2 linked regions of the Lytechinus pictus genome follow. The protein of the gene in region 1 purifies or fractionates together with the protein of each later gene. This does not show direct contact. Links are inferred from orthologs where the notes say so. Each region holds a gene or a part of one and is shown on either strand. Other genes may lie near its edges. The genes, in order: condensin-2 complex subunit D3-L-like and structural maintenance of chromosomes protein 4-like.

What was found.
Region 2: the proteins of condensin-2 complex subunit D3-L-like (region 1) and structural maintenance of chromosomes protein 4-like purify together in Homo sapiens (co-immunoprecipitation; 3 studies listed by BioGRID and IntAct, with this or other methods). This does not show direct contact. The link is inferred for Lytechinus pictus from reciprocal best matches to the Homo sapiens genes NCAPD3 and SMC4.

What each region holds. Positions count from the first base shown.
Region 1 is NC_087250.1:11,494,862-11,511,986, reverse strand, and holds the start of condensin-2 complex subunit D3-L-like, read left to right. Parts: upstream 1-9,628; 5' UTR 9,629-9,665; coding exon 9,666-9,735; intron 9,736-12,644; coding exon 12,645-12,809; intron 12,810-14,520; coding exon 14,521-14,682; intron 14,683-15,975; coding exon 15,976-16,274; intron 16,275-17,125. Other genes in the region: uncharacterized protein LOC129267861, read left to right, coding at 1,332-1,461, 2,689-2,813, 3,243-3,312, 3,770-3,950, 4,707-4,818.
Region 2 is NC_087260.1:4,774,128-4,790,881, forward strand, and holds the start of structural maintenance of chromosomes protein 4-like, read right to left. Parts: upstream 8,920-16,754; 5' UTR 8,882-8,919; coding exon 8,690-8,881; intron 8,195-8,689; coding exon 8,000-8,194; intron 7,361-7,999; coding exon 7,181-7,360; intron 5,618-7,180; coding exon 5,453-5,617; intron 4,360-5,452; coding exon 4,232-4,359; intron 2,728-4,231; coding exon 2,587-2,727; intron 2,053-2,586; coding exon 1,902-2,052; intron 244-1,901; coding exon 79-243; intron 1-78. UniProt on the Homo sapiens protein: Central component of the condensin complex, a complex required for conversion of interphase chromatin into mitotic-like condense chromosomes.

The sequences.
Region 1 (17,125 bases):
TATATTATTTGTACACGGAGATTTGAAATATGTTTTCTTGATTAGGCCTATATTTTGTATATCAAATTGTACGAAACAAATATTATTGTAAATGTTGGAGAAGGAAATAAACGAAATGAAATCACAATGGCAAAATTGTTATATTTAAATCCATGGTCTGATCCAGAATTTTCCAAAGGGGGTTGGCACATTTCCCGAGGGAAATTTTAAAAGCAAAAAAAAAAAAGAAAAAAAAGTTTTAACCGAAAACTAAGGATATTTCGTCCACGAAAATATTGACAAGAAAAAAAGGCATCACTATCAGGGGGGAGGGCACTCTTCGATTTTAACGGCATGTTTACATTACAAATTTTAATTCTGCCTCTCAAAAGGGGGGCAGGCACGTACGGGCCGACTTTGCCTCCCTCCCCTGGGTCCGCCAGTGTTTAAACCTTTGGCAACATTTCAAAATGTCCTCTGCTGAACTTTGGAATAAATTACCTGATATTGTTAAACAAGCTAATAATGTAGAATCCTTTAAGTCCCTTTTGAAGACATTCCTTTTTGTAAAATAAGATATACATGTACCTATTAATTGATATTATATATTTGCTCCTCTGTGAACAGGCTTTTCTTTCTTCTCCATTCTTTATATTCTTCTTTCTAAAGCGCATAGAGACATGATTTTATCATCGTTATATGCGCTATATAAGCAATTAATGTTTTATTATTATTATTATTATTTCTTTAAAAAAATAGTTATATGCACGCCGTCATGGGTGGGCTGAATCATCGTTACAAAAATGATCAAGATTCATTCATTTCACAATGAGTGTATGATAATGTCTCGAAGTTCCCTGTAACAAAGAATTTCTTAAGAATAAAATCAGTTGTCAATCCCTTTTTTTTAAAGGTCAAGTCCACCCCAGAAAAATGCTTATTTGAATAAATATAGAGAAAAATCAAATTAGCATAAAGCTGAAAATTTCATCAAAATCGGATGTGAAATAAGAAAGTTATGACATTATAAAGTTTCGCTTATGTTTCAGAAAAAAAGTGATATGCACATATCAGTGACATGCACATGAGACGGTCGATGATGTCCCTCACTCACTATTTCTTTTGTTATCTACACTGTAAAAAATTGCTGTAATTTGTACGGTAAATTGATGTAAATTTTAACAGTAAGATACTGTAATGATGATTTTACAGTAATTTGCCGTATTATTCAGGCGGTTCACGGTAATTTACAGCAATCATTCGAGTTCTTTTTTTTGGGAGATCAACTTTACAGTAATTTACTGTAATTGAGCACGCGAAATGCATTCTGGGATACAACACGTCACACGCGCATGCGCCTCTTACTCGGCGCGGAGCATAAATTCTTGCAAAATTTCGAGTGTCAGATCGATAAGAAGTGCCGTCGGAACTGCTGTTGTTTTGAATTCAACTTTACGTCTCCGGTCAAGTACACATTCCCTGGTAAGTAGTGATATTTTCATCCTGTAGATCCTTCACATGTAGAAATGTTTTGTTGAACTGTTTTACATATAATGTAATCTTTCATGGAACTCTGACATTCACCATCCTCACTTTTCGCGCTCTCTCTCTGTTGTCTATGAAGATGTATGTGTTAATGTGTGTTGTGCGGATGTTGTCTACGGAAGATGTGTACTGTGTAGATTTAGACTTAGAGTTGTGCGGGGTGTTGACTCAAATTTCGACTGTTTTTAACTTGCTAAAAAATAGTAAAGACCTATGCATAGAAATTTGGTATGTGTTGAAATTATCATTAAAATGCCTCTTAGCAATTCCATCATATCGACTAAATTTCATTACGCTACTTTTTGCTAGATCAGCTAGATAGATTGCATCGGATTCCGATGTCTGCACGCAGTTTAGCCATGCAACCCTGGCCATACTCGTACAGTACAGTCATGCAGCGCAGCATGCAGTGCTAGTGCAGTGCTTGTATGGCCTATGGTGCGAGCTAGCTAGCCAGCGCATGCATGCACCGCGCGCTAGCGCTAGCGATATGGCAAGGAGTTCCGGCGCGGCCGACCGTGGGCAATCGTCTGTTACAGTCTGGTCTTTTGCATTGTGACGTCATCACTGTTTGAAAGCGTGCGCGTGCATATAATTAGCCAAGGATGGGGAAGGGGGATACTCCCATGAATTCATTTGTGTCTTTTTCACAATATAACACATATATATTTCCTTTGCTATTGCAGTTTTTACACTTTGATAATGGTAAACTTTTCTTGAAAATATAGACTTATCCATTTGTAAATATTTTTAAAGTTGATCACAAATAACACACAAACAATTTTTTTTTCCAACTCTATATTTCTACTTCTCGGTTCTCCACTTTTTTGTTTTGTCCTTTTCTTCCCGCTGCTTCTAATTATTCACCTCCTTTGTCTTCTTTCTTCACCAATTTCTTCTCCTTTGCCTTCCTTCTTGCCACCTCCCCTTTCCTTTTCTTTTTTTTTTTCATTTCCTCTTTTAATATTCTAATTAATTCTTATCTCTTCTTTTGGCTTCTCCTACTTCTCATATCTCTTCCATCTTGTCAAACTCTTTCTCATTTTGCTTCTTACTCATTCCATGTCTATCTTCTTGTCCCCTATCTCCCTCCCCTCCTGCCCAGGACCCTACTCATTCAACTTATTATTTTTTTCTATTTTTTCCCTCTCTCTCTTCCTCCAGTACTTCTCGTGGAAGCTGCGGCTGCAAAAGATGATGCAAACCTGCATGATGTAGCATCTGGTGTGCTGAGAGGGTTGCAGAGCCTGTTTAAAGAAGGGAATGACTCCCTTTTCCTCATCCGTGATGTAAGATTTAATAATTACTCTCCTGAAAAATGTTTTGCGCTATTAGTCCTGAGTGAAAAAGTTAGTATTTAATAATTGCTTTTGTATCGATGACTCTGGACTTTTCAAGACCCTTTGTGGAACCTTTCCTTAGATCTGTTTTTTTTTTCTTTTTTTTCTTCAATTTTTAATTTTTTGTTGTGGGGGGGGGGGTGTTTTGTTGCTAAGGCACGCCCCCATTTGAAAAAAGAAATGAGAGAGATCACTTGCCCTTCCCCCTTCGAGGTGGTACATAATTGAAAATTAATTGATGATTATTTCTAGATTGTATTGGACCTTCACTCTTGGGGACTGCATGCTGTATGAAAATTAAAATCAATTAAATGACACTGAAGAGTTGAATCTTGTGTGTAATGGTAATGGAAACATGGGATTATCATATCTTTTCAGGTTACAGATACTGCTGAGGACATGGAGAAAGAGGGAGATGCATCTGATTCACCCAAACTCATAATCCAAGGTGCATGACAACTTCCAGTGTTTTTAATCAAACCTCTTAGAATAATATAATACAGACATTTAAAACATTCTCAGATTTAGGTTTAGACTAAATCTGTACAGACATGTACGTTTATTTTGTGTCAATTTTCTTAAACAGACTTGTATTTCATATGTACATCTTTCACTTTCAGCATTTCAGATTTGCCATGCTTGTAATTATATGCAGTCATTAACAAAAGAGACATGTGAATACTGCATGATCCCAGCCTTTAAAACTGGGCAAAAAACATAAATTATAGTTTTTCACTTTGTAACGCGTCCATAAGGGGGGGGGGGAATCAGGACAATTGGAAATAAATAACTGAATTTTACTCTAGTGAATTTGTACCAGAGATTTTCCCATCAGCTAGTGTTAAAACAAATTATAGAAAATGAAGCTCATAACGATTAAATCTTAACATTATTTTGTTTGATAGGAGATCCATTTGACTCGGCCAAGTCCCAGTGGATGGTCATGGTTGAAAGCAGAGTTATTGGCCATTCATCATCAACAACTGAAGGCTTTCTTTGTGGGGTGGCATACCTTTTTGCCACCTATTACAACCTCAATTTGGAATATCCAAGCACGGCTGCAGCAACACTGGAGTTCATTCAGAGGTACAATATGGCATGCAAAATATCGGACCATTTTCTGGAACTGACATAAGTCCAATTTCATGGACATCCTAGCTAAATGGAATTTCAGTCTGAAAAATAACTTGATTTTAAAAAATGTGGAAAAATAAAGAAAAATATTGGTGAAGGTTTGAAGAAAATCCGTCAAAATTTTTTGTTAGAGTTGTGAATATTTCAAGTTATGATGTTGTGACGTCACATCCGAGCAGCTCATAAATTTAAGCATTTTGATTCTAGAACATACTTTCTTATCTGATAAATAGGCTTTTTATTAATGTGCTACTGCTTTGCGACTTGATGGAGCGAGCAACATCCGACTGTTGCCTTGCCTTAGAAAACAAAGACATTCTTCACAGTACTTCTGCATTTATTTGGGAGCCAAATATGATTTCCATTGCAAGTGTCACGTTTTGAAAGTAAGCAAACCCAGCAGTACTGTGGGGAACTCCAAAATTTCAAGAACTTATTAGCGACTAGCACACTAACATCTGGTGTATTTTGGTGCAGGTTAATGATTACGTACTTGAGTAGAGAAGAGTGTGTCTCTGTACTAACAATAGAAAAAAGTGATTTAAAAAGTATTCTTTTTTAAGTAAAGCTGGCTTGATGGAGCCATCTCTAATTACTGTTTGATAAATTTCATTTTAGGTTTGTCAATTTATTTTGACTCCCTCAGTTTTCATTTGATTGTTTTTATTTTTATTTTTTCTGTAATATCTTTTTCTCCCTGTCTCTCAGATGTCTCCTCGGAATAAGCCCTGATGGGTCGAAGTGCCATGCGTCGAAGAGTCACTGCAACGCGAAAGTAGTGTCATTTGTGCGTCGGTTTGCTGATTTCCAGTGGCTTTAATTTCCTGATTTGTACATTTTACCCCATCATCTAAAAACATGTGATTTTATATATCACCCAATAATACTATGTTCGCTTGGTCACCATCCTCTTGAATAATTGGTTGAGCTTTGTCTGACCAAGCAACTACAGAGTTTATGCCCAATATTGCATAACATGAGAAACTTGCTGAAATAGATTGTCGACATGCTAGTTATGAGAGAACATTCATTTGAATATGCTATTAAGTTGACATTGCCCACAACTTTATTTTAGCCGTTTCTCAAATCCAGGTCAAGTAAGAGTGGGGGAGGGGTAAAATTCATATAGAAATTGTAAATGTAAAGGGGTTTCATACTTGGAAAAATAAAGTTAAGAATATCTCCTTACAACCGAATTTGAACCATACAAAAACATAGATATATGGCACTACACACTGTTTGTATGCCTCCGCCCACCAAAGGTGGTGTCGGAGGCATTATGTTTTTGTGTTGTCCGTCGGTCCGTCTGTCCCACTTTCGTTCTCGCGATAACTTAAAAACCGGTCAACAGGTCAACTTCATACTTTTTGACTTGAGGATACATATCTGGGCGACAATGAGCTGATAAGTGTTTGGGTCCAAAGGTCAAAGGTCATAGAATTCACTAAAATACATAAGAAATAGACCATTCTTACAATAACTCCAAAACCCTTTGATAGATCAACTTCAAACTTGTCTCGTGTGTATATGTTAAAGTAACAATGATCTGTTCAGATTTTGGGGTCTCAAGGTCAAAAGTCAAGGTCATTGAATACAATAAAGTACATATAACATATACCGTTCTCGCAATAACTCCAAACCATTTGACGAATCAACTTCAAACTTCGCTCATTTGTGCATATACAAGTGACAATGATCTATTAAGATTTTGGGTCTGAAAGTCAAATCTCAAGCTCTCTGGATTCAATCAAATGCATATATTTGCTTTTTTGAGAAACAGTTATCTGACTAGATTTTGAAGTCACAAGATCAAAGGTCTTGAGGGTTTTTTTTTTCTTTATGGAAATAAAAACTAGGAAATATATTTCTGGTATGGCAGTAGCGGAGGCATCTATTTCCAACATTCGTGGTCGAAAATTCATCTTTAGTTAGGATTAACATTGCTGTAAATCAATTTCGATTTCAACATTGTGCTACATTATATATATATGTATATATATATACTGCGTAGTAAGCGCTTGGTCATCAAGATGTTGACAAATATTGCAATAAGCTGTTTACTGAGAACGATGTAAACTTCTGTAATGTATGTGGCTTTAACACAGCCTACCAAGGTGGAGTGAGATTATTATTATATTATTATTACATGAATGACACAGTGATCTCCATTATTGCATATCATGCATGGCTGACTGTTAGCCATTTTTGTAAAGAGGACCAAATTATATCAAGAAATTCAGGAAATCTTAAGGTGATGTAGCAATTTTTTGTTTTCTTATAGTCAGAAAAGGATATTAAATGTATCAGAAATTCCTCAAATGAAAAAGCATGTGACATTTTGATTACATTTCAAGAGTTTCTCAAAATAGCAGATTTGCATGATGTAGTACAGAAAAATTTGAAAATTTTAGATACTTCTCACAGATTGACATTTTTCTTCATTATGATTACTGAGGATTTACTACATTGTATTTTGTTGTTCACAGAATTATAACATTTTCATACTTTCACTTTCGCAGCTGTTCAAGTGTCACAGTACAAACATTACTTTGGCAAAATTGGAGGTCATATTTGTACATGTTTGTTCGTCAAATATTCATGTAAATATTAAGTATTTGCAATGGTAGCAATACTCTCATTCGGGTTCTTTCTTGCCAGTTTCAATATCAAATTGATAGTACTGTTGTAAGAAACTTTATTTGTGAGGAATATTGTATGCAATGTAATATTATTGTCACAATTTAATGTATTCATGGCAGTTAATGTATTTGTATGCTTGTAATATAAATTATTGGTTCAGTGTGTGTTTAGGACTATTCATTATTTTGATATAGGATTGAATAAGGTTTTCTGTCTTAATAAGATTTTTGGGAATATGTATATATAAGAAGTTGACATACACTTAATTTTTTATCAATTAATAGTATACATGTAAAATTACTCATAAGTGAGAAGTTTCACTTAAAAATTCAGTTTTCTTCTGGTAGAAGCATTGTCGTCAGGTTACCATGGAGTAAGCATTTTGCGTGTTACTACGGATATGTGGATGTAAGAGATAGAGAGTCTGTGTGTGTGCGTGTGTGTGTGTGTGCGTGTGTGCGTGTGTATGTTCATCCAGTGTTCATCCAAGGTCAGCTGAGACAAGCCCTCCTAGAAGGAAGTTCACTTTAGTCAGATTTGTTTTCTTAAAGAAATTGAAAGTTTGCCATTATTTCAGGCAGTAGTTGCATAAGTGAAAAATTGCTTTCACTTGTAATTGATTCTAATGGGTTATGACTGAATATTTGAATGATTATGGTACCCTTCATGTAAATGGATTGCTTTAAAACACACCTGTTCATTAATGTACTCTCATTTAATATACAGTGGCCTGAAAGTTTGTGTAAGGTTAGCAATTACAACTACTTTAATGCATGCAAGGTGAATTTTACTTGTTGAATAGATTTATTTACAAAATGTTTAAGTCAACTGAATTGCAAACAGCAGATAAAGTAACACCAACCAAATTTTATGGTTGTTCTTACAACCTTTGTTGCTTGCTCTGACAGGTCCAACAAATACATAAAGAGTTTATGCATGCAAAAAGGATGCCACTTATTGTAATACCATTCAGTCCATGGTAATTACCTATTACCAAATCCAGAGGAACAAAGTATTCATGAAATTTGACTACATTAGTGAACAGGTCTGTAATGAACATCAGCATTCTTAGGACATTTCTGTGTACATAGTTTCTGTATAATTGTCATCTTTGAAATTTGATTATGCAACACATTCTACTTGCCAGCATTTTGCCCATGATCCTTACAAAAATTGTACTGTTTGTGAAATATGGCATTGTCAGTTCTACTGCATGTTAATGCAATAAAGACTTTTCAAAGTTTCATTCAAAAGTTTTACTCAAGTGTATTTTTGTCATTGGAAGTTGTGCCAATTACAGTAAAACATACTGTAAATGGGGTCAATTTACAGTAAATTACTGTAGGGAGTGTACAGTACTGGGGGTAAATTGGGAAGGTGTACAGCATTTTACTGTAGGAAGTGTACAGTACCTCACTGTAATGCAAGGGAAATTTACAGTAGTTTACTGTAATTTAACCAAATTTACAGTAGCAACAATTCTAAAATTTGGTAAATTTTACAGTAAGCTACAGCACTTTTCACGGTATTTTCCTGTAGCTAGTTCAAATTTACAGTAATTTACTGTAGGACGAAACTACAGTAGCTTACTGTAAAATAAAAATTACAGTAAATTACCGTGCAGCAGAGTTGCCAGTAATTTACTGTAAAATCTACAGTAAACTTTTTACAGTGTATTTTTTTACAGATTTGACAACTAGGACCAACTTGACTGAACCATATAGCATTAAACAATGCTAATTCCACATGTTCATAGAGGAATTCATCGTTGTTTCACTTGACAAAGAGGAGAAAATTAGAATATTTCATATTTCATATAATAAAATAAAAAAGAAATAGTGAGTGGATGATGTCATCAGTCTCCTCATTTGCATACAGACCTGGGGAGTGTTTCATCAACATTTTCATCCGACAAGTTGTCAGATCTGACATCTTTCTCTGATGTTGATTAGCTGAGAGGTACTGTTACTATGGTAACTGTCGGATAAAATGGGACTTGTCGGATAAAACGTCCGACAAGTCCTTTCATGAAACGCCCCCCAGGGGAGTGTTTCATCAACATTTTCATCCGACAAGTTGTCAGATCTGACATCTTTCTCTGATGTTGATTGGTTGAGAGGTACTGTTACTATGGTAACTGTCGGACAAAATGGGTCTTGTCGGATAAAACGTCCGACAAGTAAATTTCTTAATTTTCTTTCTTTTCTCATTTTTTATGGTGGTGATTTTTTTTGGGATCCGGCCATATGCCCCCTTCCCACTGAGCTCCCCTCTCAGTGCCCCTTCCCCCTTGTGCAAGGTGTCGCCTCAACCATCCATGCCTCAACAGAGATGTTTATGCGTGTTTATGCATATGCGCGCGCGAGTCCAGCGAACTTAAAGGAGAATGAAACCCTTGAAACCAGCTGAATCCATATCAAAGAGAAAAATCAAAGAAACATATTGTTGAAAGTTTGAGGAAGATTGAATGAATAATAAGAAAGTTATGAGCATTTAAATATTGAGATCACTAGTGCCATGTAGATCCTCAGGGCCCATCGGCAATGCGACCAAGATCTGTGATATCACACACGTACAACTCCCTCATTACTCTAGTACTTATTTCACTTTATATTCTCACTTTTATAGAGTCTATCACAAGGTGAGGTGTTCTCTTTATGAGATGACAAGTACAGAGGTTTCACAACATTATACCATTGATGAATCGTTTGTCATATGATTAGAATAAGCAAAAAGAGATGTTTTGGGGTATATTTTCAGTGTCCAAATGGGAGAGTTGTACGTGTGTGACATCACAGATCTTGGTCGCATTGCCAATGGGAGGATCTCCATAGCATTAGTGATCTCGACATTCAAATGCTTATAACTCTTTTATCGCTAGTCCTATTTTACTCAAAGTTTTGTTGATCTTATTCTTTGATTTTTCTGCTTTCACAAAAGCTAACTTGCTCCAAGAGTTTCATTCTCCTTTAAAACGTACGGTACGGCCGGCAGGCGCGCGCGCGGGAAATTTGATTGAGAAGGAAGATGGCGAAAGAACCGGAATCTAACGTCGCTGAACGCTTTGCAAATTTGGGAATTGAACTCTTAGATGAAGGTGAGACGACACTTAATGTGAATTAGGAGATCTAGCGTTAGGTATTCCTGCTTAAGAGTGATGTTGTTTTTATAATTTTATTGCAAGGTAACTTTGATTAGCTGATCTGCTCTGGAAGCTAGTGCCGCTATGCGGTACGTGCACGGCTGGCCCGCCGGCGCTCCCGGGCGACAATATTTGAATATTCCGCTCATACTCATAGGCGGATCCAGGGGGGGGGGGGGGGGGGGGGGGGCGAGGGGCCCGGGCCCCCTATTGGCGGAGCCAAATAAAAGGGGAAAGAGAGGAGAAAAAAAGAAATGGAAGAGGAGGAAGACGAGTGAATAAGATGAGGGGAATTACTAGCCTACGGTACTACTACTAGGCCCTACTTGGAAAATAAAAAGAATCTTTCATCATCATGATTCATCATGATAATGTTCATCATCATGTCACTTAAAATTTTTAGGTTCACGCTCGCATTACCTGCTGGGTGATTTTCATATCTTATAATCTTGTTCAATCTGGAGTCAAAATAACAAGTTTGGAAGTCAATAATATACTAGGCCTATACACAATCAGAGTGTCAGAGGCGCTGGTCAGAAAATTGGGATTGTCCCAGTTTTACAGCGACTGTCTCAGTTTTTAAAGCTTTCTTCACAAGAAATGTAGTAAAGTTCATTCACCTGTCAAGTGCCGACACCAATCAAGTACGCTAGTCAATGTAACAAATCAGGTTTCATAACAAGATTATTGGAAGACTGGAAGTCATGAAAAATAGACCATGTGTATGTAGACAGTGAACTGGGGGGAATTAAGTCAAGATCACTGAATCTATTTTTAGCACTCTCAATTCCTGTAATTGATGTCTTTGTCCCGTAGGGGGAAGTGAACAAAAAAAATTCCTATAAACAAGGACAGTCTCAATTTATCAAGACATGATTTGTCTTGGTTAATGAGGATATCCTTGTTTTCTGGGACAATCCCAATCTTTGGACCAGCGCCTCTACTGACAATATATTTCACCTCTGAAATTGAACTTTCATTATTTTGTGTGATTTACAAATTGATTTTTAAAAGGTGCTCTGTAAAAATATCAGTTTTATGGCCTGAATTTTATCGCAAATGTTGATTTATCAGGTAGGCCCTACCTATTATTAGGGAGACCACAAGATTTTTCTATCTCATCAACCACTTCATTAAACTGTTTGATTTTTTCAGATCTTGATAAAAATAGTGCAAAATAGAAATCTACCAAATTTCATAGTAATCCATGAATCAGTTTTTGAGTAATAATCAAATGAATTTCGAATGAAATTCCACCAAATGCTCCCAATAGGCTCTGTAGTATAATTTGTCACAACACACTCACAGCTGAAACACACGACCACACACAGAGTGCAGATATTTTGTGTGCAGTTTTGCATTGGGCTTTCTGGAGTATGGGAGGGGGGGGGGGTATTTTGAAAGCAATTCTGACACTTGATCCTGAAGGAAAGGTGAAAAATGAGTATTTCCATTGGATTTGCCATTATCAATACTACAAAAACCCACTAGTTTATAAAAATATGGTACTTTTATTCACAAGATACAAAACTTTGAACTTCCTTTTTTAATGCCACATCAAAATCATGGTAGTAACCAAATGTAAACTACATGTAAGTAGGCTATACATGTGGAGCATTTTATTCTCTTTAAGTTGATACCAAATTCATTAAATTTGGATAATAGGATCATATGTCAGAAATGCGTTGAACTTTGATTTTTCCCTCAAAACCATGACCATTTTTGGCTGTGTGAATGCGGTGAAAAGGGCGATTTTTTTTCTCTGTGTGCAGTCGCCCTACTATTATTTTCGTGTATTCCATAACATTTTCAAAATATCCCTTTTCAGGTCTGATTGTCAAAACGTATCAGCTAGCGCTGCACGCTCGCATTTTGATTGGCGAATTGTGTACGTGTCTCAATATTGATTTTACAACAAACTACTTAAAATCCCCTTTTTACCAAATAAAGAAGTTGTGACCAAAACTTTTCACTGCGATGTCATCGAGGCAGCGTTGCTCAGTCGGTTAGAGCGCATGTTTCGAATAAGATCGTAGATCTCAACATGAGGGGTTTCAGTCCCGCTCATGCCGAAACGCGTCTAACAAAAAAGTATGATGCTATAGCGTTGTGTGTTAGCGTGCCTCACCACTATTCAGTGCAGGTGTGAATGCAGTTGGAAAACACTCCATCCATCGGAAAGGACGCAAATGTTGCTCCTGTGTTACATAGGAGAGGTACAACCTATGCATGTTAACACCAATACACTATTTCGTCAAAGATTAGGGTGTTCATCCGGTGTATTGCACCTGCCGGTCCCGGCAAAATTTAGGTCAAGTACCCGATGCGTTTATGCCCATGAGGGCCCTGTTTCGTATACATCCAGATCCAGTTGCGGGGTTTGGCTGCCATTTTGGATTTTGGCCCGGCACACTTTTTTCTCGGACCCAAGACAAAAAATATTGTCATTTCATGTTGAGATATTAATTACAAGGAATAAAAAAAAAACTGTTGCCGTATTAAAATGACAAAAAAAGTATTTTTGACCCATGTATAGCCCACTCACTCAATAATGGTAGTGACTACATGTATATGAAAACTGTTAAGTAGGCTATCTTTAAGGAGCATTTAATTCTCTTTAATTTGATACAAAAAAAAATTGATAATAGCATCATATGTCAGAAATGTGTTAAACATTGATTTTTCTCCTCATAACCATGTCAATATTTGGGTGTGTGAGTGTGGTGCAAAAGGAGGAATTTCTAGCTATGTGTGTGCAGTTCCCCTCATAATGAATCAGAATTGCTGCATACATGTGCTTTCCGGGGATTCATCAAAACTGAATATAAACTTTTAACCTGTTATATATATTTTTTTCCCTTAAGGATGGGTGAACGCAGTATGGGAGAGCGACTTCACAGAGAACCCCGAGCTTCCAGAGGGTGTCAAAGGTCAGTGGGCCAACCAGCGTGAAGTCCTAAGGTCATTGAAAGACGCCATTGACTGCTCGACACCGTGGGCCAGGGTGGACTTTGCCACACTTCCACAAGGTACATTTAGGGCGCTAAACTTTCACAAAGATTTGTTATAATAACAAATGCACAATATCTGTAGATACATGTAGCAAGATTACTATCAGCCGACCAGATTGAACGATTTAACTAGCTTTTAAACTGACATTGCATATCAGTCATTATATTATAACAAGTTTTAGGAAATGGGGCCCAATTTGTTTGGCAAATTTTTCAATTTTGCTATAGTTTTCTACTCTGGTGGAGATTCCCCATATACAATGTTGTACCAAAATTGTACATTAAATATATCAACAGGCAAATTACTTCACACCCTCTCTTGAAAGAAAAAAAAATTACTAAATAGGTTCATTATTGCGGATTGAAATAATCGCTAGAGGGTATTCATTTGTCTCGCAATCTACTATGGTCAACAAGGAAAAATACAAGTTCACGAGCTTTCGAGTGCCGCTGCAACTCTTTATCAAGTGACGAAAATTATCTGATAAAAAATTAGTTCAGTCATCATGAACCATTATAAAATTTCAATTTCTGCAAATTCATGCTGTCACATATCAAAGACTTCAAATTCTAATAACTTTCTTAATCTTTGTATTTTCCAAAAACCTTTTATATCAATTTTTTTTTTTCTGGTATTTTAACATTTTTTTTTCAAGTTGAACTTTCCCTTTAATGCAAATTGTTCTTTCATGTATGACATTGAAATGTCATTTGTGAAAATTGTACTCGGGGGCTGTTTTGTGAAGAGTTACAACTCTGGTATCTCTGCCATTATGGCAGTTGCCATGGTAACGGGGCTCAGCAGCCAATCACAATCGAGGGTTTTTGATGGTAGTTACAATAATGGCAAAGTGATGCTAGTTGCAAGTCTTAATGAAATGGGTTTTCTGCATGTTGGACAGCAGCATTTCATTATTAGGAATAGGACTGTCCTTTCATCAGCAGTAGAAAGAGGGAGAGAAATATTTTAAAGGTCCTATGACACAAAAACCATCTTATTTTGGATATGTATCTATTCTTGGGTAGTTTTACTTGAAAAATACGAATTTGCCATCGGTTTCTATGTACGACGAACCAGTGTTGAGTTATTCTATGGAAATTAACTTCAACGGGAACGCCCACTAAAATTTTCAAGAAAGTCAGCCGATCGACCTGTCAATCATCGTGACGTCATCGAAAGAAAGCTTTCTCAGCTGTGCAGCCGGACCCCTAGTTATTGCACATGTTTCTCGTGTAGTTGCTGTTTCAATCAAGCTCATCCTTAACAGATTTTTTAGATTTTTATGAGGTTTTGATCATGGCTGCAGCATCGTCATCAACTGCGTCTGATTCTTCAGACTTTGAAGATTCAGATTCTGAATATCATTCCAGCAATTCAATTTATTTACTTTGAATCCACACGTGCAACCACAATAGGCACTTCACGCTCCAAACGTCAGCAACACTCAGCAGATTCTTCCCCTGACGTCATAATTGTCACTGATATACGAAACCAAATTGGGCTGAATTTTTTGTGGGCGTGGCAAATTTGGCTCAATTTTCAATATAAAACTGCCTTTGAACCTGATGTGGGATGTTTTTCGGGTAAAATTTTGATGGAATCGTTATTGGTAACCACTAAGCTAACGAATAAATCAGCATCTTTGCTGTATTTCATAGGACCTTTAAATGTCACTTTATGTAGTTTTTAATACAACGCTCGTGTACATGTAATTGTTTTTCCGAGCAGGGTTTTGGAACATCCTCTGTGAAAATGGAATCGTACCCAGGTCTTTGCTGGCTGGACTGCACCATTTTATGAATAGGGTGGACAGCCTCCTTTCATCGGCAGTGGAAAGAGAGATTGCAATATCGGCTGCTCATCTGTATATCCTCCTTCTCGAGATACCAGGTAAATATGTAGTTTGCAAGCCTAGGATGGGCTCAATTACAAGGTAATTGATCATTTACGTGATTAATTACATTTTCTCAGGTAACAATTGTAATTGTATTTGAAATTTTGAAAGGGAAAGCACTCAACCCAGGTGAGGTAAATGGGTACACGGTAGGAATTCCTTGAATTGAAAAATTCCTTGACTGCTTGAGCGCCTAGGCAGCTCAGCTAAAGCCGGGGTAATAATAATAGCAGGGCCCGCTGGTAGAACAGTTTTCGAAACTGAAGTGGCTACCCTGGGTAAATATACCTATATTAATATATTATTTGTAATTGTAATTGAAAAAAAAATGTAATTGAATTCAATTACTTTTAATATCATTCAATTACTTTACAATAAACTTACTTGTTTTCATGATTTAATTTCATGACTTTTTTTTTTTTTTTCATAAAGTTTTTATTGATCGATAAAATGATTACATAAATATCAAAATATTTCGTGTCGACTGCTTCAGCATCAAAGTGTGTAATGGGTAGAATTTTGCTTTTTATTAAACATAAACCATCTTGTCAGTTTCTCTGTAACTTAGAATTGTGTTGAAATAAGTGGTGCTAGTACATATAGAGAATACAAATTGATTTCATTTATGACTTTTATAGAAAGTAATTGAAATTGTAATTGTAATCGACAAAAGTCATTGGTAATTGTAATTGAAAAAAAAATGGAGATATCTTGCCACGTAGGGGAGAATTGAGTCTCTGAATATTGCAGAATTACATGTACACATATTCTGTCTAATCTGTGTAAGCGTATTTAAAAGTGAATATTTCATCATGGCGATTTAATCAGTCCCATCTCAAGCCCTTTGCTAACTTTAATATTGGCAGTTCAATATAGAAATGTGCCATTTGGAAAAGTGGCCTTGCTCTACAGGCCTTTAACATTTACGCGAAGTGTTGGTTTGCTTTGTTGCACTTTGACTGAACATCTACATTGTATCAATGGAGCTCTGTGGCCTAGTGGATTACTCGCTGTACATTGAAACAGAGGGTTGTTGGTTCGAATCCCAGCCAGGAGGTATTAAACTTCAGCAAGAAATTGATTGGCATTGTGCTACACTCACCCAGGTGAGGTGAATAGATACCCGCTAGGATTTATTCCTTGAACGCTTTAGCGCCTATATGGTGGCTCAGGTACAGCCAGGGTAATAATATGGTACCAAGTATCAAGGGCAGTAAAGTATATACACATAGTAACTATGCTATATAAACGGACATGTTAATATTATCATTATTATTACTATCCTCCAGGAAGCGGAGCATACCGTGTCCAGCAGCCGATGCTCTTTGAGGAAGCCCTGGACACCTTCAAGCTCTGGCCGAAGACGGAGAGCAACAAGCGGAAGCGCCCCGAGTCCAAAGGCCATCGGAGCTCCCAGCCACAGGGGGGTAAGAAGTCCCGTCGCATCACCTCCAGCCAGACCGCATCCCAGAAGGCTCATGATGCCGGCAACGATGAGGAGGAGGATATGGAGGAGGATGAGGAGGTGGTTTCCTTGACAACGCAGGAAGTGGATCGCATCCACCGGGCTATCTACCATGCTATCAGGGTATTTATCTTTGATCCTTGCATTGTCACCCAGGCTTTTATCCACTGTGTGCCATACATGTAGTGCTCTGTCCCCCTAAATTGCTTGAAAAATGTACAAGAATTTGCTCAATTTAAGTCATTACATGTGCAGGATCCACACGCATTAGCGGTATGCACTAATGCTCTAATTTATTAATAATAATAATAATAGCTGGATTTTTATAGCACTTTTTGCCTGAGGATACAAAGCGCTTGCTATTATTACCCCGGCTTTAGCTCGAGCCACCATCACCTGCGCTCAGCGCATGCAAGGAATTAATCCTGCCGGGTACCCATTCACCTCACCCGGGTCGAGTGCTGAACACTGTAAAAATGTTGATTAAAATTTTAAGCACATTGTTTAAGCCTGTTACTCTAACAACTATTGTTTAAACTATTTAAACAACTGTTTAAACTTTTTAAATAACTTGTTTAAAAAGTTTAAACAATTAAAAAAAGGTTAGTAGTTTTCAAAGCCAGCACTGCTGCTATATTAAATCACGTAATGCAGGTGAGACTGCAAGAGGTGCTCTACTTATTTGCAGGAGGTTGTTTTCCTGCTGCGGAATGTGCCGCTAAGAGTTCTGAAGCGATCATTGAGCATGTTATGCAGCATACTATTATTATAATTATTATTATTACTGCACACCCAATTTTGTCGCCATTCTTTGCGGAAGGTTGTTTTCTTGTTCTTATCCAATCAGAGGCAAGGATTTCAGTAGCTTATAACAGACTAATTATTTGATGAAATGCTCCTAAGACCAGCACTATCTTTGTTCCAGAACTTGAATTCATCCTTAAAAATTTACCTAGTATTTGTTTTTAGGGAAT
Region 2 (16,754 bases), on another chromosome or scaffold:
GGCTGCCCATAATTTTAGCACATAATTAGACCATGGTCTAAGTTAAACCTGACTTCAGAATACGGGCCATTGACTTACCTCCTTCTCTGCCTGTAATCCCTTTGTCTCTGTCTTGAGAGAAGCCATGATATCATTCATCTTACCCTCTTCTACTTTTAGCTTCTCCTCCAGACTCACTTTACGCTTCTCAAGTTCCTCAATCTCAATCTCACTATCCCCGGGGACTTTCAGTAATCCTTCCAGCTGTAAAGAGACATTACCAAGAAGAGATGTAATTTCAGTCAAGGGTATTATAAACTAAAGGTGACCTGATAAAAACAGAGTACAAGTAATATCGCACAAGTCGACCCTTACTCGAATATTAGTCCAAGTAGATGCAAAGTTTTAATAAAAATAGTTGCATTTATAAAGCGCTTCATATTCTATGTTTCTATCAAAGTGCTTCACATGTAATTATTATTATTACATTATCATTGGATAAATCCCTGTTCCACACATAAACTGCACCATGTCCACTCCTTGGGCAGCATCCTAGTGAGGCAACCGTTTTACCAGTGCAAACATGCCAATCTAATTACAATGAGGTTCAAATCCCAGTGGGTACCCATCGAACACCTGGGTTGAGAGTGACACGTGTGGATAAGTGCCTTGCCAAAGGACATTTGCTCCGGGTAGGATTCAAACCATCAACCCTTGGTTTAAGAGTCAAGTGACTTAACCACTACTCCACGACACCTCCATATTATGCAAAACATGTGCTATATACATGCACATGTAGCTCTTCTTCTTAGTCGAATGAATACAAAGTCAAACAGATTCCCGTGGTCCTAGAAGATTTGACTTTGGCTAAGTTACCTGTATTCACTCCAATTCTGGTGGGTGTTTCATAAAGCTGTTTTTAAGTTCCGAGCGACTTTACGACTGACTGGTGATCCATTCTCGTGGTAAATAATCTACATCAAATTTTCATTGATGCTAATTCAGCGCCTAAGAAAGGGCCACCAGTTGATCGTAAAGTCACTAAGAACTTACAAACAGCTTTATGAAACACCCACCTGCATATTTTCCAACCACACCCTCCCCCCCCCCCCCATTTTATACAAAGACACTTAACCCTCAATCTCCCGGGGTATTTTGATTCTTGTCAATCCCGGGGGGGGGGCCATTATGGCCCCCCCTTAAGATCTCGGCCGCCGATTGCGCGAGCGACGCAAAAATTTGCACACTGGTAGTGTGCGATGTAATCTACAAGGCTGTATGGTAAAATTTTCCAAAATAATGAGATTTTATTTTATATGAATTAATTATGCTAATTTATGCATAAATCATACTTTTTGCTATAATTCACTAAATAAAGCTCCTAGAATGCTAATTTTTGGTAAAAAAATTCTTTGTAGCAATCTTAACAATCGCAATTAAAAAAACTTCGGTTCGGAAATCAATTTCTTATGTATTTTATTGTTTTATAAATTTCTTATGTATTTCTTTGTTTTTTTACTTTTTGTTTTTTATTGTTTTTTCAATGGAAATCATTCCAGACTTAGTTCTGATCATAAACAAGGCAAAATTAATTCAGTTTAATCAGTAAAAGTAGAAATAATGATACATTTATGAATTTTGGCTAAATACACAATTTGCATTGGATTTGTACATGAAATCACGTTTATGAGCAGTTTTGGGTCTGACATGCACTTACATAATGTTGCGTAATGTCGTAACCGTGTACCCGGGCGTCACAAATTTGGTCTCAAAATTTGCGCGAGACTTGAAAGTAAAAAGTCAGTGAGCGACGAGGTCAAAAAAATTTGCGCAGCAGATATATCGCGAAAATTGTCAAGGGGGGGGCCATTATGGCCCCCCCCCCCCCGGGAGAATTAGGGTTAAATGCCACAAATCCGTACCTTTGTCTTCTCTTTCTGCAAGTTCTTGACAAGTTTCTTCTGTTTTTCTCTGGTGTGTTTCAGGTCCTCTCGACATTTCACATCTTGCCTCTCAAATTCAGCAAAGTCTGCCTTCTTCTGCTCTGCTACTTCTGCAAGTTTCTCATATTGTCTGAGGAGGGCAAAGAAATTAACATGTCTTTTTCTTTTTTCTTTTAAATCCAATTCTTAGAATTGTGCTCAGGAGAAAAACTGTATTCTGTGATAAAAAAACCTGTATTTTTCCCCCAAAAAAGTGTATTTCATAATAAAATGCTTGGCGCACTCGCTCATCGCGGCACTCAAGCTGCATGCAAGCTAAAATGCGCACTGCTCTTGCAGATGAAAAAAAAAAACATTGAAACATGTGTATATCTTCACCCTGGTTTTAACAAAATGACTGAAATTACATTGATATAATAACCATATTTGTGTACGTTTTATGAAATAGAGACATATAGATATTATTTTTCTCAATAAATTACAATTTAGTAAAAAAAAAAATAAAAAAAAGGTCTGAATGTGGGTTTTAACAATACACCCTGTATAGATTTGAAATTGAAAATGGATCTATCACTCAATTTGTAATCAATTAGAATACCATATAGTAATCCTTCATTATTGCTCTTATTATAGGTATCAATAAAAAGTGTGATCAAGACCTTACTTGTAGAGTTTTTTGTGTTCCTTGATCTTCTCTTTGTTCTCTAAAGCCAGAGTTTTGAGACCTTCCTCCATCTCTTTCAGTCCATCCTGGACAGCTTTCCTCTTCTCCTGGGCCTTCGCTTCATTCTCATTACACTCAGAGCTGGAATAAACATCACAGAGTAAAATCATTAAAAGGGAAAGTGGAAAGTTGTTTTTTTATATAAAAAGACAATTCCATCTCCCTCAATCCATCTTGGACAGCTTTCCTCTTCTCCTGTGCCTTGGCTTTATTCTCATTACACTCAGAGCTGAAGTAAACATCACAGAGTAAAATCATTAAAAGGGAAAGTGGAAAATTGTTTTTAATATAAAAAGACAAATCCGAAAAGCACAGAGGAGCGAGTTCTAAACGAGATCAAACAATAAGAAAGTTTACCCCTGCCAATTTTGCTATTTCAGCAAAGCCATCATTGCCAAAGATAAAACAAATGTAAAAATGATGAATAAATATAAAACCAAAAAAATATATTATGTACTTGTACTTGCTATCTATGCAAAAGAGTCAAATCTTTCCCAAAATCTTTCCCAAGATTAACAATTGTATGATGGTGGGACCTAAAGCTACGCACTTTTACAAATGATAAATGCTATGACAATTTAATATTTGAACGGATTGTCTTACCCTAATTTGTGAATTGTGATAAATATTCTAAAGATCATTGACCAAGCAGAAAATATTGCAAAGATCACTATAACAAAAATCCTGCTGTGTTTTCCGAACACCTCTTGATTTTGCCGCCCAATGAAGGGGTCCTAAAGCTACCAACTTGATGAATCATGCAAAGAAATAGCATTTCCTGTGCCTCAATTTTTAAAATGTGTTCACATTATTATGAAATTAAAAGGAATATAACTCTAAAATTCCAAACATTTGCTGGTTTTCTATGCATTCAAGGATTTATAACAGCCTCTGTAGAAAAAATTGAATAGGAATCGTTTGGCACACTGCAGTCATAGCTCCACACACAGTGTGCATACAAAGGCATCTTCAGATTCAGAAATACCATGCAATGCTGGGACAGAACTGGTAGAATACTGAAACAAATTTACCATAGCCCGTATTCTGAACTCTGGTGTTTTTGTTTATGTACTCTATGATGCAGAAATAAAGAAATTAGGGCAAGATGAACAAAAACATCATACAATGACGGACATGACGTCATGGGCCCATTTCATAGAGGACTTTCAACTGTTGCAACTTTGCCATTATGGCAACTACCACGGAAACCTTGATTTATGATTGGCTGCTGAGCCCTGTTTCCATGGTAGTTGCCATAATGGCAAAGTTACAACGGTTGTAAGTCCTTTACGAAACGGGCCCCATATCTTTTGACCAACAGACTAACAGACCACCAAACCAACAGGAAAACTAATTATTAGGTTTCTGCCGAACTTCGTTCAGGCGAGAACAAAATTCATAACTTTCTGGGAATCATAGCTAAACTGTTCTTTCATCTTTCATCATTAAATCATGGGGGAAGGTGCAGTTATCATGAGAAACATACAATGTGAACAAAATCATGACATTTTCAGCTTCCCGTAATGTAAAGCACAGAGTTAGAACAAGGGAAGGAGGCTATAAAGCTGTGACATGTCAAACTTACATGTACTTCTGGTAGAGTTTGTTCTTTTTCTTGGTCACCTCATTCTCAGTCTTGAGGAATTCCTGGGCTTCTTTCATTGGTTTCTCCAACTCTTCCATCTCTGATTCCACTGCCTTGACACGGGTTAACTGGTCAGTTATAAATCAAGATGGTACACAAATAGTGAATAGGCATGAGTGCCATGGTGCGAGATTTTCGCATAAGGCAAAATAAAGATGCTTTATTGAATAGAACGTCTCTTTCTTTCACCAAATGTGAAATGTTGCACCATTGCACGAATAAGAATATTCGCTATTTGTGTTGTACAACGCCTCGGAAATTGGCAAAAATACAAATAATCGATTTTTTTTCAATGAAAGCAAAAGGAAAATCCCTCAAACGCACATTAGATCTACAGAAGCAATGCACATTTAGCCAGAAAGCCCTATGCGTATTGCAACTGCATTTACAAGCACATGCAATGCGGTGAATCATAATTTTTATAGTGACTTCACCTTTTCCTGACCCGTGCAACGGTACATTATGGCCGGTACATGTGCAACGGTACGACTGTTTGACATTAAGCCTCCCATTTGCTCGTGTACAACAAGCTAAGTAGACATTGTGCAATACTCAATAAAAAGCCACATAGCCAGTTCAGTTATAAAAACTGCTCTACCAGAGGGTCCTGCATAACATTATAAAGTTAACATTACCCTTCCATTTATATGCTGAGTGCCAAGCTAGAAGGCAGAAGTTTCCATTTCTAAGAGTCTTTGAAATAGTTTGGCTGAGAATTGAACCCTTGACCCGAGTTCCAGTTCACGAGATGGGGATTCTAGTCCTGAACCACTACGCCAGGTTAAATTGGTCACTACGAGGATTAAAAACTATTTAAGAAACTCTTTGGCCTGTTGCAGACAGGGTTGAGTTTTAACTGCAACTCACAAAATCAAATGGAAGTCCCCAATGTGCACTTCTAATTTGGTTTTAGAATCAAGTTTTGCTTGATACTTTGCATTTGAATGTGCCACTCCTGCAATGGGGAGCTGTTGTGGAGTTGGTGAAAACAATCATGGTGAGCTTTCAAGTTATGGAAATTCAGTGACATACAAGTAAGAGAATCTTGAAAATGAAAACGTCAATAGCTGGATTTATATAGCCCATTTTCTAGAGGATTCAAAGTGCAACAATTTTTACCCCTGCTTTAGCTCAATTCACCGCTTTACAATAATAGCTTACCTTTTCGCCCCTTTCCTCATTGAGTTCTTCTACTTTCTTTGCGAGCTCCTCGATGGATTCCTTGAACTGGTTGCTTCCGATGATGTCCTCAAGGTATTCTAGCATGCCTTCCTCATGTTCTGTCTGGGCTTTGGGTTTCATCATGGCTATCTGCTCGACCTCTCCCTACAAACAGAGAGTTCGTCAACAATGGAAAGACTTTCAATCTTATTGCATTTAAAGGGGAATCCGGCCATGGTCAAGAATGTTGTGTTGAAAAGGAGAAAAATAAATTTAAACAGAATGGTGAAAGTTTGAAAGATATCGGACAAGCAATAAGAAAGTTATGGCTGCTTTAAAATAGAGATCCGGTTATCCCTAAGACTATGTAGATTTCAAATTGGCAACTGTGTAAGTAAAATATTACATGTACAAGGGGCAAGGACAACTTTCTCACAGGCTGTGTACCCAATTATCAGGGATTTGTGATTTTCTCCATTCCCCTGGGGCGGTAATCTTCATATAGCCCAGGTAGTATACTGTTTTATGTCCTCATGAAAAAAATAATAATTTGAAGTAAAACTTTTGAAAAAATGACATTTTAGCCATTTTATTTATTGGAGTACATGGTAGAGTAGTCCTTGCCTTACATCACTATGACATATGCAACCAATTTGAAGTCTCCATGGGTAAAGTGATTACCAATATTTACAACTTTTTAAAATTCATAACTTTCTAATTGTTTGTCTGATAGTTTTCAAACTTTCACCTATCAACTTGTCTGATTTTTCTTTTTCCTCTAAAAACAAGTTTTTATTTGGGTTGGTTTCCCCTTTAAGAATACAGGCAACTCTATCTGCTCAGTCAATCTCTTGGGACCACAGAAATTTGTTCCGAAAATTCCCCAAAAGTCTTGTACAAAATAAGAACACACAGGATCACCAAGGGTGAAAAAAATTGTTATTTTTCTCTCCCTAAATGGAAGACAGTTGAAAGGTATAAAAGGTCTTGGGTAATCATTTACATCTGAAATTAATTTTGGATGAGATTATCATTTTACGATTTTTGTGCATTTTTCTGCAGATGATACAAGTGAGTATATAGACTAACTCAAGGTAGGTAGTGTTATTTCTACAGGACCATTTTTTCCCTTCACATCGAGGGTGATTGCTGAATCTTGAGGGCTATTTCTTTCACTTTCAGGGCATATGTTTTATGCAACCAGTAAGCAAATTGTGCAGTAAATGTAAATACCATTATTCTACCAAATGTAGAAAATTAATTTCTCATTACACTCAGAGCTGAAATTTCTTATTCCTGAATATTGTTGGATGGTTACCCCACAGCATGCAATTTATGGCATTTTAGGGGCGATTTGAGCTGGCATAGGGGCAAAATTGCCCATCATCCTCATGTATTTGCTATGCTAATGTAGCTTTGCCCCCCCCCCCCCCCCATGCAGTGTTAGGTCATAGCACTGGCACACAAATGAATGGGGGGGGGGAGCTTGGAAGGCCATGGACCCCCAAAAATTTTCACGACCAAGAAAACAGGGAGAAAGGAATTGGCAAGGAAAGAGCTGAAATATAATATTATTTTTCTACATATTATTTCAAACTCTATTGATAACAAAATTAGATTTTGTGATAAAAAGGTCAAAATTTAGACTCACTCGCAGCTGTTAAAGAAATTTTGCCCCATACACCATTTCTGGCCCCCTTAAAATGTTTGGCTTATTACGCTACTGACCTGTAGGATGAGGAACCTATTGTGATCGAGGTCTACTCCAGCTTGCCTGAGGAGAGCCGTGCATTCTTTGAAGTTGACCTTCTTTCCGTCCAGGTAGTAGCTGCTGCTGTTGTCCTTGTGCGCTGTCCTTGACACCACAAACTGACTGTTGGGTACCACTTCGTACTCATCGACCCCGGCCTATTCAATATAGGGAAATACATCGAGGGGCGTTTCACAAAGCAGTTCCAAAGTTACAAGCGACTTTACGAATGACCGAGTCATTTCTCATGAGCTAAATTCACACCCATGATTATTTGGTGCGCATTTATAACTTTTCTCAAGAAAGGATCACCAGTCATTCGTAAAGTTGCTCACCCTACACGATTCAACTACGGTACGATTTACAAAGAAATGAATTTTTCATAAAATATGAAAGTTTCAAGAAGTAAAATTATTCCAGTTGAAGTTTGGCATATATGTGTAAATGCGAGGAATACTAAAATTCAAATTCTCTTTTGATGCAAGCCTTCTGACCTGAGTAGTATTCAAATCATCTTTAAGTTGCAGTTGATGATAACGTCATTACAATTTGGAATTGAATATGCTTTCATTATCTTTTCGACAGGAATGCAAGAATTTCAATTAGATCATACAGTGTATATCACTATTCGGAACTTTGATCGGTATCTTTTTAATAAGGTTTTATAGGTAGGAATATTCATATCAAATGCTACTACAATTTCTTTAATATCAGATTATCACAATAGATTATGCATTGTATGCCGGAGTTAAACCAACATAATTTTCATAAGTTTCCTAAAAAAACCTCTTACTCACCCCTGTATCAATGATCTTCTGAAAGTGGACAGCTACGGTGCAGCTCTTCAGGTCCTTGTGATCCTCCGACTTATGGATGAGAACTGACAGTTTCTTGGATCGAATCTTTGAAGCACGGTAGCCAAAGACGAACAGCATGGAATCGATGACATTAGACTTTCCACTTCCATTCGGCCCAATAATGCAAGAGAAACTCTGCATATAAATACAGCCGTGGAATAATTTTCCTGGTAGCACATCACAAATTACTCCACATTTTTTTAGGATTACTCCACAAAATTTCTGAATTATTTTCTGGTATATATGACTAAAAAGAACCAGAACATAGTTGAAATCTCTCACAACCAGAAATGCTAATCCAATTCGAGAAGAAAAATTATTCTCTGGAATAATATCAAACTTGGATTGAACTCTTTCTCCCTCTCTCTCTCTCTTACTCCTTTATTCTCTTTTCAGGTAAGCAGGGCAGAAATTTAGTACATACATATTCACAACTATAAATCCTGGTACAGTAGTTTTCAATAGAGCTGAAAATCAATAACAATTCTGTCACATGTGAAACTTGTGCTATCAAAATGGACATTCTCTGCAACCGGATTCTAATTCTGGCCTTGTCCCCAACAAAATTTTAGATGGAAACGTTCGACATAGGGACAATCCAAGACTGCTTCATGTTCTACACCAACTTACCTTATGGAACGGGCCGAGGACTACTTTGCCTGCGTAAGACTTGAAGTTTTCAGTCACAATCTGCGTGATCAGGAGCCTGGGTTGTGCTGTGGGAGTCGAGGGTTCCTGAGGTATGGACTCATTGGTGTCCATGGGCTGGCTTTCTGCTTCACCCTCAGCCTTGCCTTGCTCTGGTTCCGCTAACACTGGCATCTTGTTGCAGTCCTGGTGAATATAGATAAGGAAAAAATAAGCACTGAGTCAATAAATAAACTGACTGATTCTACAGTGTCTCAAGGAATTATTTGAACACAATACTATTACTAGGGTAGGCCAGAAAATGGCACTAGATTTGTGCTGTAGACATGTGTCCAAAATGTCAATACCGTTGGTTAGTTGGCCTCGAATATTCTTTCTATATTTTGAGTGAACAATGTAGACCAACTTAGTGATTTCTTCACATTTTCTGGCAGCCAAGTTGATTATCTATTGATGTGACATGTTTCCACTGCCCCACTCAGAGGCTCACACAGTCTAGGTCAGCATTTAAAGACTTTGAAATGCCTATTTTTAGCCACTAGCCCACACAGTATAGCATATAGGGATGGACCAATATGCATTTTCCAGCACATTTTGTGGAGTATCTTTCACTATTTAGGAAATTTTGAGGTAAGTTTCGAGCAATGTCTGTGATAATAATGCTAATAAAGAATACATCAAGGTAAGGCCGCTGAAACTCGATGTTGAGTTTTCCGTCGCCCGTCCGCGTTATGAAATTTGGCCCGCGTTTGAAAATCAAATTCTTAAAATAATTTATTATTTTACTATTTTGACATAGATCTAGATTCAAAACTGATATAAAACATTTATATAAGCTTTTCACTCGCACAATTACTTGTATACCCGGTATCTTGTAAATACCTGTAAATCTTTTCTTTTTTTCTTGTGAATGGAATGATGCTGCATGCTCAACCATAACGTTAGTCAAACTCGTAGAATCAACCCAGCCATGGCCATGCAACAATGCGCCCGCGCCGCGCTCCAGCAAGTATGCACAAAGATTTACTTTGGTCAGTGTTTTGAACAAATCACGCACGCAACAGCGATAGTACACATGTACGTACATGTACAGTACGTGTACGGTGCAGGCAGAATCTCAATATGATCTCATCGCCGAGCAAGGCCAAGGGCCTAGGATTTTTAATATTTGACGAAAAAATGACGATGTTCTTGTCAGTGACTATTCAAAATCATCAAAATGGCAACACGCTGTTACCATACACGATCACTAACATCGGTCAGATAGAAACTTTTTGACATTTTTAGGGCGATCCTCGCGATGGAAAACTTAGATCATGTACATGTAGATGAGAATGCAAAAATGACCATGGTGTATTAAATGGATTTATTAATGTTTAGATCCATGTTTGTCTGATTTAAATTTCCCATTTCATTTATTGTACTAGTATACTTAACAATATTTTACAAAATGCCAAAAATTTAATTTATAAATTCATTTACTATATACTTTGTGTATTTATACCCCGCTCCGATCTCTCATTGCGGTGTGTCCAGTCCATGTCAATAAGGTAGGGAGGCTCTCAGTGAGAAGGAAAATTAAAGGGACATCCAAGCAAAGAATCAGTGTTATGTGTTGATATGTGACGTATCCCCTACCACTACCAAGCCACCTTAGATCTACAATTACAGTATGAAACAGCAATACAATCCACTCCTTTTCACACATAACTCAAATGAAGATATAAACAGTGTATATGTTGAGATATTACATATTTATTGAGTGTATTGCAGAAAATGTCCAAATTAACAAATAAAAGTGTGTTAAAAGGTTACAAAAGGTCAAACTTTCATCTTCTAGAAAATAATGAATAATGAAATCGGTTCCTCATTATGAGCTGGAAAAAATGGGATGGGAAACTCAACATCGAGTTTCATTGGCCTAATGCTTTTTAGTAGAAATGCTGTTTCGTTTTTTGTTTTTTTTTGTCACTTGTCCTACCTAGATCTAGAATCTACCTACTGTAACTAGGGCTGAGTGAGTCAAAACATTTAAACGCTGTTCAAATGACCATTAAAAGCATAAACGTCTATTTATTTTGCTAGCCGTTTATCTACATGTCTACATGTAGGTCCTAATCAATGCCAAGTGGTGGGCGAAAAATAAAACCTTTTATAAAAAGAAATTTTTCTTAATAGTTTTCAACAAAATTACAATATTTTTAAGGAATAGATTCTAATGGAAAATGGATGCCCATTTCACGGATTTAAAGATGCAAAATCTGACATTTTAGCAACTTTTGGTGTGTGTTTTCTTCTTACCCCTGCTGGTTAATCATAAACACCCTTTTATTAATATGCTTTTCAAATGCACATATTTTCCTTAACCCTGGGAAATTGGTGCCTAAAAACTTTCATGAACACATAACAGAAAAAGGAAACAATGATCAATTATTTTGATTCGATTTTCTGTTATGTGAACACCAAAGAGAAAAAGGAAACAAAAAATTCAATTCAATTTGGTTTTTTTCAAAGGAAAAACCAAAATTTGAAATATGTAGAGTAAAACGGAAAAATAAACGTTTTTTTCTCACTTCAATTTCAGACTGTTTTCCTGTATTTAATTTTTTACACATTCATGACATTCAATTTTCATCACTGACACTGACTGTTCATTTTTTTATTTTTCTTGAATCATAATCAGGGTGCGACAAACCCGCTTGCCCGGGGCAAGTGAAAATGACGTGCGGGCAAGCATTTCTCAAAGTCAATTGCCCGATCGGGCAAGTGGTTGTTTTGAAAATGAAAAGATAAATTGACAGTAAAGTTTAATAATTTTTTGATAAATTGGAATTATCGGCCAATTATCTCTCATACAATGTCATACCAGTCAAAAAACAGTGGAAACATGTCAAATCAGCGCCAATTTACCGACAAAAGGCGACAATTTATCGCCAGCGGTCCCGTTCGATGGAGGCTGCCATCTTACTTTCTAAACTACAATGTGCGCATGCGCTACTAATCGACGAAGGAGCTAGCTGCTGCTGGGGAAACCCCTCTCTCGCCCTCTGAGCGCATGTACGGACGTACACGAGCGATCGCGATCGAGCCAGCCGAGTCTCGAGCTAGATCGCGCTGAATGCATGCAAGCTTCGGACTGACTCGGCCAGGACCAGATGTCCCGTATTTTATTCATTTCTAAAACATTTTAGTTTTTTTTTATTTCAAAAATATATTAAAAAAACACCAAATATTATAAGGATTTTTGTTATATGATTGGATTGTTTTTATTTGCTTGAAGTTTGAACTTTTTCCTCTTTCGTTCTTTTCTATCCTTCTATCTTAATTTTTCCTTCTTGCCCTTTTTTGTTACATATCTATTTTTATTTCCTGATCCTTTCTCTCTCTCTCTCTGTTCATTTTCTTTCTTTCCTTCTTTCTCTTACTTGCCTTCTTTAGCCTATTACATTTCCTTTTTTTTTTTTCCTTCATTCCTTCTCCCTTCCACTAATTTTTTCCTTCCATTATTTTCTCTTTTTTTCATTCTGGCCTCCCTTCATTCTTTCCTCCCTCTCTTTCCTCCTTTCTTTCTTTCATTATTTATTTCATTTTGTCCTTATTCTTTTCCCTTATACTTTCTTTCCTAGCTTTCTTCCTTCCTTCCTGTTTTCTTCTTTCTTTGTTTCTTTCTTTCCAAGAATGAAGGAAAATTTTCTTTCCTTCATTCTTTCTTTCCTCCTCCTTTTTTCTTACTTTCTTTTTGTCTTTCTCTTCTTTGTTTTGACTTTCACACATTTATTCTACTTCCCTTTTCTTTTTTTCTTTCTATATTCAATTCAAAGAATGACAGAAACCTTTTTATCTATTTTTATTCTCTCATCCTTCTTTTATTAGAACTTTCTTATATTTTTATTATTTCCTTCATTTTTCTTTCGTTCTTCTCAATTCATCACTTTTCTTTCTCTCCTTCATTCTTTAGTTCACCCTCCCTTCCATTTCCAATTCTGTACTTTTTTCACAAGTCTAACACTGTTTAGCCTTCTTTCTTGAGCTTTTTTTTTGTCGATTGTTCCGTATTTCATTTTGTGAAATCTGGTCACCCTGGCCAGGACTCGGCTTCAACTTCAAACCAAATAAACAATGAGTCGTAAGACTAAAATAGGCAACTTTTGTCGTCGTGATCGGCGGCCAGAACAACTTGAACAAGAGTCAAGAAAAAGAAATGCCAAGCCAGGGCAGCGGCAGTAGGCTAAATCAAGTTCAGCCAAGACAGAAAAGAATAATAAAGAGCAAAATAATTTTTGAAAAAAATCGGGCAAGCAAATTTTTTTATCACTTGCCCGACAGCTAGGCCTAGGGCTAGGGGCTTAAGTTAGGGCAATTGTAGACAGGAATAACCGTCGTTTCTGGGGATTTATTCAACAATTTCTGACATTTTACTGTAATCCCCATTTACCGACGGTAGGGTGTACGTGTGGGCTCGCATGTGTTCTCATTCCCTCCCTTTTGTCAATTCACAGTCCAAAGTTTGATGTAATTTTACACATCGAATATACAATCTAAGGATGTATAAACAACAAACTTTTAAAACTTGATATGTCAATGTTTGAATACTTTAAACGATATAGATGAAAAAGGCATGCAAAATATACTTTACCGATGTTTAATTGGGTTGAACACGATAAAAATGGTCAAAATGGCAGCCAAACTATAAAATATTTACAAACGAACGTCAACAATCACGAATGTGATATCGATATTGCTTTCGATATTATACGATCTGCTCCATATGCGAACGAAACCGAAGATAAACGATACTACTTATACTAGTACTAGTACTAGTTATAATCGCGATATATCGATTCGAGACATTAAGTTAATAACGATAATGACGTCATTCAAGATGGCAACTTGCAAGAAAAACCGTCAGGTCAGGTGAAAATGTCTTAGATGACAGATTTCTCAATCATCCAGAGGATTTTTTTTCAATAACTCCCGCCCAAGGTATGCAATTACTTAAGTTATTTATATTTCCCTGATAATGGAAACCATGAAACTTTCAATTTTGCTTAAAAAACAGTTTTAAATCGCGATCTATAAAACGCTAGTTCACTATACGTTGGCTGTAGGTACGGGGCCCCATCCCCTTCAGTCTATGTATGGTGAGTGGAGCCAACGTAGTTCAGCGGAACAACCAAAATACAGAGACTGAAGCTTTTGGTCACTCCTAGTACCAATGAGGTCCAAACATTAACATGTATGGACCTCATAGGCGACAATGCGTTAAAAACAGGTTAGAACTTCTAAACGTACTGTTTCCTGCACCCAAGTATGATATTACTCCCAAAATATGAGTTTTGTCCTCGTTTGTTTATCATTTATTAAAAGATTGCCCATTAAATATATTCCTATTCCTAATTTGAATTTAATAAAATAAAGGGAAACTTACATTTAATTTTGAGTCATTTTTCGATCTTTTTTTGGCAGTCAGTCCGGTCACCGTCGAGTGCGATCAAAGCGGTATGAAGCTGATTTTCAGATCACGTGATACGTGTGGTCATCACCTGATCAATCGACTATCCTTTTTTAAAGACCGCAACAATTATAAATTTTATCATAAAATATATATAGAATGAATAATTGCATGATATTATATATATTTCTACAATTAAAAATATTTTGTGATATGAATTTAATATTTGACGTAAAAATCGCTATTTAACAAAATATTTATTAAAAATAAAAAATCAAACAAAATAAAAACGCCTTGGACACAGTGCAAAAAACCGAACAATTTGGCCGCGTTCTTAACAACTATCGTAAGGGGCGCTCTATTTATAAATAAAGTTGCATATGTAGCTGTCTACCGCGACAGGAACAGCCGCAGAATTGAAGCCAGAAGCGTGGGAAATTGCCAGAAAATTCAAGAAAAGAACCGGTGAGTCCGATTTAACAGTACTAATTTATTAAGTAACATTTATTGAATCATTACAAGTAATGTTGTAAATCGGATCAAAAATCAGATCGAAAATCGGATCGGCAGTTAAGCTTCTAAAATCGAAATCGAATCGAAAATCGAATCGGCGATGTTTAAAAACAAAGGAATACATCAAAATGTTGTTCGCGGTCGCGCGCATCTTCCTGACAAAGTCACAAAGACGAATGCATTGGAATGGAAGTCGCCAACATGCGCGATCGTTTGGAACATGTTTTAAAGCCAGGGGTTTTGAGGTGTTATAGCTTTAAAATAAACCGAGTGATTTTTATTAGAAAGATAAACGAAAGACGCATCTTCCGAGCAAAGGCGCAAAGGAAAATAAAATGAAAATATTTCTCATAGATCACAGGTTAATGAACGATCGGCGGGACATCTTTTAGAAGTATTTTTAGGTGCTAGCGATTTAGAATTATTGGAATGATCTCTTACGACGCATCATCTTAAAGTCGCAAGTGCAATTAAAATGAAGTAGAAGACGCAAGCACGCACGATGATTTGAAATATGTTATTAAAATGTTTTGGGTAGCTAGCGTTTTCAAATCAATTTGAAGTTCACGGCGGGGTCCGCTATCACCACGAGGTTGACGAGAAGATTTATATCATTATAAAGGGGGTAAGAGAGTAGCGCAGTGAGCTCCGTCGGTAATACGACCTTTCAAAGTTCACGGCGGCATCCGCTATCACCACGAGGTTGAAAATAAAATGTATATCATCATAAACGATGTAAGAGAGTAACGCAGTGAGCTCCGTCGGTAATACGACCTTTCAAAGTTCACGGCGGCATCCGCTATCACCACGAGGTTGAAAATAAAATGTATATCATCATAAACGATGTAAGAGAGTAACGCAATAAGCTCCGTCAGTAGCACGATCTTTAAAAGTTCACGGCGGGGTCCGCTATCACCACGAGGTTGAAAATAAAATGTAAATCATCATAAACGATGTAAGAGAGTAACGCAATGAGCTCCGTCAATAGTACGACCTTTCAAAGTTCACGGCGGCATCCGCTATCACCACGAGGTTGAAAATAAAATGTATATCATCATAAACGATGTAAGAGAGTAACACAATAAGCTCCGTCAGTAGCACGATCTTTAAAAGTTCACGGCGGGGTCCGCTATCACCACGAGGTTGAAAATAAAATGTATATCATCATAAACGATGTAAGAGAGTAACGCAATAAGCTCCGTCAGTAGCACGATCTTTAAAAGTTCACGGCGGGGTCCGCTATCACCACGAGGTTGAAAATAAAATGTAAATCATCATAAACGATGTAAGAGAGTAACGCAATGAGCTCCGTCAATAGTACGACCTTTCAAAGTTCACGGCGGCATCCGCTATCACCACGAGGTTGAAAATAGAATGTATATCATCATAAACGATGTAAGAGAGTAACGCAATAAGCTCCGTCAATAGTACAGTCTTTAAAAGTTTATGGCGGGGTCCGCTATCACCACGAGGTTGACGAGAAGATTTATATCATTATAAAGGGGGTAAGAGAGTAGCGCAGTGAGCTCCGTCGGTAATACGACCTTTCAAAGTTCACGGCGGGGTCCGCTATCACCACGAGGTTGAAAATAAAATGTAAATCATCATAAACGATGTAAGAGAGTAACGCAATGAGCTCCGTCAATAGTACGACCTTTCAAAGTTCACGGCGGCATCCGCTATCACCACGAGGTTGAAAATAAAATGTATATCATCATAAACGATGTAAGAGAGTAACGCAATAAGCTCCGTCAATAGTACAGTCTTTAAAGGTTTATGGCGGGGTCCGCTATCACCACGAGGTTGAAGAGAAGATTTATATCATTATAAACGGGGTTAGAGAGTAGCGCAGTGAGCTCCGTCGGTAATACGACCTTTCAAAATTCACGGCGGCTTCCGCTATCACCACGAGGTTGAAAATAAAATTAATATCATCATAAACGATGTAAGAGAGCAACGCAATAAGCTCCGTCAATAGTACAGTCTTTAAAAGTTTATGGCGGGGTCCGCTATCACCACGAAGTTGAAGAGAAGATTTATATCATTATAAACGATGTAAGAGAGTAACGCAATGAGCTCCGT